2 linked regions of the Callithrix jacchus genome follow. The protein of the gene in region 2 purifies or fractionates together with the protein of the main gene of each other region. This does not show direct contact. Links are inferred from orthologs where the notes say so. Each region holds a gene or a part of one and is shown on either strand. Other genes may lie near its edges.

What was found.
Region 1: the proteins of TNFRSF1A (region 2) and MAP3K7 purify together in Homo sapiens (affinity purification with western blotting; 7 studies listed by BioGRID, with this or other methods). This does not show direct contact. The link is inferred for Callithrix jacchus from reciprocal best matches to the Homo sapiens genes TNFRSF1A and MAP3K7.

Annotation. Positions count from the first base shown.
Region 1 is NC_133505.1:96,646,108-96,649,922, forward strand, and holds part of MAP3K7 (mitogen-activated protein kinase kinase kinase 7), read right to left. Parts: intron 838-3,815; coding exon 713-837; intron 1-712. UniProt on the Homo sapiens protein: Serine/threonine kinase which acts as an essential component of the MAP kinase signal transduction pathway. Plays an important role in the cascades of cellular responses evoked by changes in the environment.
Region 2 is NC_133510.1:19,948,152-19,952,405, forward strand, and holds the start of TNFRSF1A (tumor necrosis factor receptor superfamily member 1A), read right to left. Parts: upstream 3,044-4,254; 5' UTR 2,772-3,043; coding exon 2,733-2,771; intron 1-2,732. Other genes in the region: uncharacterized protein LOC144577746, read left to right, coding at 3,253-3,285, 3,388-3,448.

The sequences.
Region 1 (3,815 bases), on a different chromosome or scaffold from region 2:
TCAATATAACTTTGTTTCACATGTATTTCTGCTTAAAGACACCTTATTCATATATACTGTTGATTCATTAACATTGAACTCATAGCCAACATTGCTATCACTCATGCCTAAATGAAGATAATCTAACACATGTATAGCGTCTGTTAAGACACATCATAGCCTTCTTATACTTAGGCAGTACTACGCTTGAGGGCCATTTTAAATAGCAAAATTACCAACAAAAATCACAAAAATGAAAAAGGTAGGGCTCTAAACAGTACAAAAAGGACAGCTGTTTATAGCATGAGACCTGAAACAAGATGGAAGAGCATTATCTTGTTTAACCTCAGCTAGAAACATGTGTTAGATGACTCAAAATTACACTGTCTGCGAATAATCATGAAAGCACTGTCTGCAAATAACCATGAAAGCACTGTGAGTATTAATTCTGGGGTTACAAATAAAGGTTAGCAAATAGGCAATTTTGCAATTATGAAATTGGTGAATAATGAGGATCAACTGTACATATGCTTGAACCTGCACAGAAGATTTACATCTTACTATAAAATTTAGGACATAACACTATTTAATACCTCCTTAGACTTCATTGTATACTTTAAAATGATGTATTATGCAGAAATAAAACCCAGGAATGGGGAAAATCTATAAACACATATTGAATTCACAAGGAATGAGAGAGATTATCAAACATACCATACTTTTGCCATTTTACCTTCAAAAACTTCAGGTGCCATCCAAGCAGCACTCCCCTTGTTATTGGTCATGTGTGTCTGAATGTCACAGGCTGTACCAAAATCACAAATTTTTAGAACTGTCCCCCCTGCAACCAGCAGTAAGCTGTTTTAAAAAAACAAAAATATCAAAAATTGTTAAGGCCAAACATTAAAAAAAATTCTACAATAAAAGAAGAGACATTTGTGGAAATGGAAAAGATTAAGCAAAATGAATGTTATCATTCAACTTTGTGAAATGATCAACTTACTTGGTCACTATAAAAGCCTAACAGTTTGGAGTAATATAAGCAGAAATTAATTGGCCATAACCTAGCTCTCTTTGGAAGGCTGCCAGACTCACATTTTGATGTCTTCATGTCTAGCTCCATAATCTTTCCTGACCATACTTCTCTCTGGCCAAAATAAAATGTGGGGTTTAAAAGACTTCTAGTAGGTCAACATTATGGTGTCCTGAAATGGGAGTTTAATCATAAATATGTATTACTTAAAAAAATAGTAACACTAGGTAATTTAATTAAAGAAAATAGGCTAATATAGAAGGAAAAAAATGGTCCTTAATTTAAATCTCTATTTTGATACTTCTAAAAATGTTCAATCTCAAAACAATTTTTATGTTTAGAATATGTATGTGTGGGAGGAATAAAAATCTCTTACAGCTAAATAACCTAATGAAAGATTTCTGGAAAATTTTCTGAACTTAAGATTCTGACTTTCCTAGGTGCACTATTAATCAACCACAATCACCAAGTAGCATACACTTACAAGATTTTGCTTTTCATGACAAACAGAAATAGCAATGGCCATTTCTATTCACATAGAACGTGCAAATATAATTTCCACAATCACACTGTAGTAGTATCCAGTAGCAATACATAGGAATTCATTTTAATTCTAAGTTTTAAAAACTTTTTATATCTGAAGAGGTTATTTAGAAATTTCTTCTCTTTTAGTCCAGTGTGACTAAAATAAGTCAGATAAACTACTACTCACAGTTCCATAATACCAAAAAGACTCATAATCATTCCAGTGAAAAGAATGCTAAATCCAGTTTACCTTTGTAGGTAGTTCAACAAAAAAAAATTTTACCCCCATCTCAATGTTTTGTTCAAACTCTTATACTTTTTACCCAAGAAAATGATAAGAACTCTGTAACTGGTTTCCTTGTTTTATACTGGTATATTCAAGATATCAAGGCCGGGTGCGGTGGCTCACGCTTGTAATCCCAGCACTTTGAAAGGCTGAAGTCAGGCGTTCAAGACCAGCCTGACCAACATGGTGAAACCCTGTCTCTAAAAAAAAAAAGAAAAAAAAAAGAAGTCAAGATAATTTCTGATAATTCAAGATAATTTTCCTGAATGATTTTTATGTTAGTACTCCTTTATTTGACTTCAAAAGTTCACCAGCCTTGAACATGAAATTCAGGGCTCACTGAAATCTGAACTTAAAGTATCTTTGTAGGCTTACTTTCACACAGTTAAGACTAAAAACATTAATTTCTAATGTACATGTGAGTAAACTTGTAAAAGATAAAATATGGGCACAAGCACAACTTGATAGTATATAAAACATCTCCCTAGATCATCAGGTACCTTCCTTAGATCCATTCTGAGGAACTCTTCCTGACCACAGAATCTGTAGGTTTTCCACTGACGCTAAGGTTTTCCACTGACAATAAGCAGGTATTCATGTATACCCAATTGTATGCAAAAACATAGTCATTCCAACGAATTTTCTTTTCCTCAGTGCTTTCTGAATTGAAATCAATTCTGATTCTAAAGTCCAACTTGTATACCAGGGGCTTTAAAGACAATTTGCAAGATGAATCTAATAATGGAGAGGCCTGGAATAAATGACCTAGACCAGACCTTCTATAAATATGTTAATTGTATTTACTAGCAAAAGGAGAATCTCTATCTATAAATGATTTTAGAAGGATATATCTGGTTGAACTAGGTTGATTAAACAAACATAAAATTTATGGGGTAGAAGATTGGGGATAGTAGTTAAGCTGTGTAATTAGTGCAATGTAAAAGATGTTAGAAAATGGAAATGACTTCCTTTCGTAAGCTATTTCTCCATATACTGTTTAATAACTAATCATTTATTCCAAAGCCAAAACACCTAGTAATGAGGAGAAAAAAGATACTTTTGGGAGTTGCATCAGATGTGTTCAAGCTCTTTTGGGAAAAGAATGCTTTGGCTGTACCTGATGCTTGCCTATAACCTTTGGATTATTTGGCAGTTTGTTCTGGTTAAGAGCTGTGATTCTCTTGAGTCTCCTTTAATAATTCAACTCTGTTAATACAGTGGGAAATGGACGACTGAATATTCATAACCAGGAAAAAAGGCTAAGTGATTTCTTCATTAGTTACGGCAGGTAACTAAGATAATAGCCTCAGGAAAAGTAAAAGCTTAATCATTATTTTATCAGTGACCTGGGGAAATAGAAATCAGTTTAAGCTTAGGAGTAGAGATAAGATACACTAGCAAGAACAGTGATTTTAAGAGTTGGAACCTATGTAGAGTATATCAGATTAGACCTGAGAGTGACAAGTTATACCCAGAAGGGATGTTTTAATGCTTTAAGCCAGTATCAAGACAATGAAATAACTGAAGACTGTACTGATTTCCTAAGGGAAACCTCTTCTGTAAAGACTAATGTGCTGGGGTGGGAGCTTGGGGGAGAGTAAAGAAGGTATGTGGAGACTATTTTTACTCTGTCACAGGTGCATAAAAGAAAAAAAGAGAGAAAAGTAAACAATGTGTTTTATGTGTATGTTTTCGTTAACCAAATACCTATATATAAAAAAACCCCAAAGTTTTAGTCCTTTAAAATACTTATCTAAACAATTTGTAAGTTTTTTAAAGTCCCAAGGATTCATATTATAAAGAGTTGCAGAATATTTTTAATTTCTACCCAGATGCCAAGAAATGCCCTTTTACTTTCCTCTGAAAGAGCAAGTAATAACTCTGCAAATTTTTGTAGAATGTCTATGTGCTAAGTGTTAGGGACACAGCAAAAAAAAAAAAAAAAAAAAAAAAAGTCAGACCTGTCTCTGTCCTCAAGGAATTGTCTAAGAG
Region 2 (4,254 bases):
CCCTCATCCCATCTGACCCATCTCTTGTTCTTTAATTCATTCGGCAAATAGTTAAGGGGCACAGTTTATGTGACAGGTCCTGTGTGGGTGCTAGGGAGGCCGAGGTGGGTAATACACAGCTCGTGCTCTCAAGAGCTCTCGGCCAGCACTTTGGGAGGCCAAGGCGGGTGGATCACCCAAGGCGGTCAGGGGTTCAAAACCAGCCAGACCAACATGGTGAAACCCCGTCTCTACTTAAAAAAAATACAAAATTAGCCAGGCATGGTGGCACAGGCCTATAATCCCAGCTACTAGGGAGGAGAATTACTTGAACCTGGGAGGTGGAGGTTGCGGTGAGCCGAGATCACGCCATTGCACTCCCACCTGGGCAACAAGAGTGAGACTCCATCTCAAAACAAACAAACGAAAAAGAGCTCTCAGTTGGGTCAAAGACAGTCATAGGCCCTGAAATCTATATAGGGAGACTCCAGTTGCACAGTGAAGGACACCGAAGCAGCCTGGGGAAGCTCCTGAATTTTGTGACACTGAGAGCTGGAGCTGAGACCTACTAAGCAAGGCAGGGCCGTGGTCAAAGGCCCATCTCGCTCCCCAGTTCTTCCTCCTTCCACTGCTGCTCAGGACACCACATCACCATGCATTTTCCTCGGGATTGCTCTGAAATCATTTTTCACTGTAAGCTGTCTTGGTTCCTAGGCTGTAAGCTCGTGGAGAGCAGCAAAATCCCGTTTGCTTTGCCACACTCTCTCCTGTATCATTCTTCTCTAGTCCCCTACCCCACCTCTCTCTCTCTCTCTCTCTCTCTCACACACACACACACACACACACACACACACACACGATCACACACTGTGAGCTCTGCATTGCCCAGTGAATGGTGAGAAATTCAGAAAGATGTTGCACTCTCTTGGTTTCCCCTTTCCCCCAACTCCAGACCAGGCTTCTATCCCTTAGGCAACATAATCCCACCTGGGTTGAAGCACCCAGGCCTCAGGCACTTTCCTTTACCTGTTCCTGCTACCTTTAGCCTCTGTTTTCCAGACAGGCAGCCACCGAGTAATTACTACTAATCAGAGCAACATACAACCTTTATTGAGTGCTTTCTACTTGCTACAGCCTATTCCCCCGATTGACAAAGCTATGAGCAGGGATTTTGTTCTCTATCACAGTGTCTAGCTCAGAGCACGCGCTTAATTAAATCGAATGAACGCTTAGCATGTATCAGTCTAGTCAATTTTCAGAACAGTATGAGGTCATGACTATGACACCCATTTTGGAGATAAAGAAACGAAAGCATGGAAGCTTAGGTTATAAGACCTGCTCTTGCTCATGCCACTGGTACGTGGGAGAGCCAGGGCCACCCCAAGCAGAAAACAGAAGCAGGATGTCAGGGCAGCTGTCTGGGTGAAGGACAGTGGGGAGAAGGGAAGATGGGGTGAAACTAAGGAGACAGGAGGAGGGAGAAGAAGAGTCAGACCCTGACGGAGACGTGCCGCTTGGGGACCTGGGGCTGGAAATGTGGGACCAGAGCGGAGTAGAGAGGAGGTGCAAGGGTACTACAGAGAAAAGATTTTAAAAAAGAGGCTCTTGGAAGTCTGTGGAGAGTGTGGGGAGATTGTTGGAAAGAAGGGAATGGTGGGAGTGGAAGAGCATAAGAACGAGGAGGTAGGCACAGCTTTCAGAGGCCGGGCAGGGCAAGGCCACAACAGGGCAGAGAAAATCTGCCCGATTTGATGGGCCCAGGGCGACTGAACGGGATGATTCCCTGACCAAGACATGGAGGGTGATCAAGGATACATTGAAACAAGGCCGAGGTCAGAGAAAGGGACATTTTCCAGTGACGAAACAACTTTCTACCAACTTCCCCAAACTGAACTGTAGAATCAGAAACCAAGGGATTGTTGTTTAGGTCTGTGGGAAGCAGGGGGTGGGGGAGGGGAGGCTGGAGGACAGGCCCAAGGACACTTTCCAGGTGGGGGTAGTGCTAGCTCCCTGTGAAGAGTCAGTCCCACAGAAGCACCTGCCTACCAGCAGGCAGAAGGGTAAGGAATGCCCCCAGGTGAGAGGCCGGGACACTGGGGCACTGTTTACTGGGTTGCCCTGCCCCATCCAGTGTCCCAGCCCATTCTCAAATACCTCCCCCCACGAGCATCCCAAACCCACCACACCAATGCGTCACGCCTGGACTCACTCTCCCCACTTCCCTAGCCACCTTACTCCTGCCCTACAGGCGGTGCTGAGCCAGCCTCCATAGGCAACCTGGCCTCCCCACAGCCCGACACACTCCAGGCCAGCCAGCTGACCACAGGGACAGGGACAGAATTCAGAACTGTCTGGGCTCCCGGAGCACTAACCTTCCTACTCCCACTCCTTTCCTTTCCCCGCCAAATCTGCCCCACCCTGGACCTATCACCTGCCCCCATTCCCGCGGCTCCGGCAAACTCCGGCAAACTCCGGCAAACTCCCACGCTGTCAGGGGCCAGGGCTTCCTTTTACTCTCTCCCTTTCGAACTTCTCCAGTTCCCCTGCCCTGCCTCAGCGCAGCCCCTACTCCAAAAGGCGGATGAATGGGGAACCCCACACTGGCAGCGGCTGACGTTAGGACCTGCTGGCCTGAGGCTCGTGCCAGAGCCAGGCTGGGGCAGGAGAGGCTCAGCCCCCTCCTGGATAGTGCCCACGCTGGCCGGGCAGGGCCTCGCCCACCAACCCACTCTTCCCTTTCTCCCTGGTCTCACCAGTGGCAGCAGCAGGTCAGTCACGATGGGGAGGCCCATGCCAGACACCTATGGCCTCTCACTCCCCCATTTGGGCTCAGGGCAGTGTGGCAGTGGCAGCGCAGGAGGCTTCCCGAGTCTGGTCTCGGTCTGTCCAGGACGTCACAAGTGTCTTGGGATGACAGTTAAGGGTTGAGACTCGGGCATAGAGACCACGGCCCGGTCCCAGTGATCTTGAACCCCAAAGGCTAGAACTGGAGCCCGGGTGCAGAGAATTCTGAGAAATTAGAGAGGAGGAGAGAGGAGGTGGGAGGAGAACAGTGAGGCAGAGTGAGGCAGTGTTGCAACAGCACACCAGGAAGAGCTGGAGGAGGAGGCGGGAGGCGGGTTAACTCTTTGTAAGCCCCAGTCAGAAGCACAGGAATCCCAGATCCGGCTGCCTTGCACCCTGAACCCACCAATCCGAACCCACCAATCCGACCACTCCCAACCAAACACCAGGGTGCAATAAGCCCCTTCCCCCATCACCAGCTTTTCCCAAATGGAACACAGCAGTGAAGAGACCCAGAGCTTGGTAGTCAGAGTCACTGGGTTCCAGTTCAGAATGCTTAGCTTCTTAGCTGGGTGGTCTTGGTCACATAACTGAACCTCTCTGGGTCTGTTTTCCAATTTGCAGAGTGGAGATAACCTGTCTCCTGGGGTTCCTGTGAGGATTCGTTCAGACCGGAGAGATACAGGTAAGTGTCTGCCACACCGCAGGTACTCCGCGTCCCTTACTGGCACTCCCCTTTATTTACTCCGGAGTTCTTCACTAGCCTCCACGCCTCCCTCTTTCTTGGGAATTTACTTGTCCAATCCAAACCTCAAAGTAAGCCTTAACCCTCGTTTTCTGTCCTGACTGGGTCCCTGCCACTACTTACCCCAGGTCTCATCCACTCTCTGCCTGGTCAGGTCTCCCTGCCCCACTGCCCCACTGCTGATCCTGGCTCTGCCACCAAGCATGGGGCATCAGGCAACTCCTCTCCTCAGCCTCTGTTGGTTCCTCATTTATTAAATAGAGGCAACAATGCCTGCCCACTACATGTGGAAAGTGATGCCATGGGGATCAATGAGACACACGAAGCTGCTGTGGAAATAAAGGTATTTCTATCAGGTGTTCCTCATATATTCCCAAGGCCCTTTTCCCAAATATTCTAATACATCAATTATAAGTGACCCTAGAGATCATTTACTCCAACCCCATAGGTTTTTTTCATTTCTTCGTTTGCTTGTTTTTCATTTTTTTGTTTTGAGGATCCACCCCGTTTCCCAGGCTGGAGTTCAATGGTGCCATCACAGCTCACTGCAGCTTCGACCTCCTGGGCTCAAGTAATCCTCCCACCTCAGCCTCCCAAGTAGCTGGGACTAGTGTTTTTTGTAGAAACGGGGTTTCACCCTGTTTCACAGGCTGGTCTTGAACTCCTGGGCCCAAGAGATCTGCCCACTTCAGCCTCCCAAAGTGCTAGGATTACAGGTGTGAGCCATTGTGTCCGGCCAACCTCCT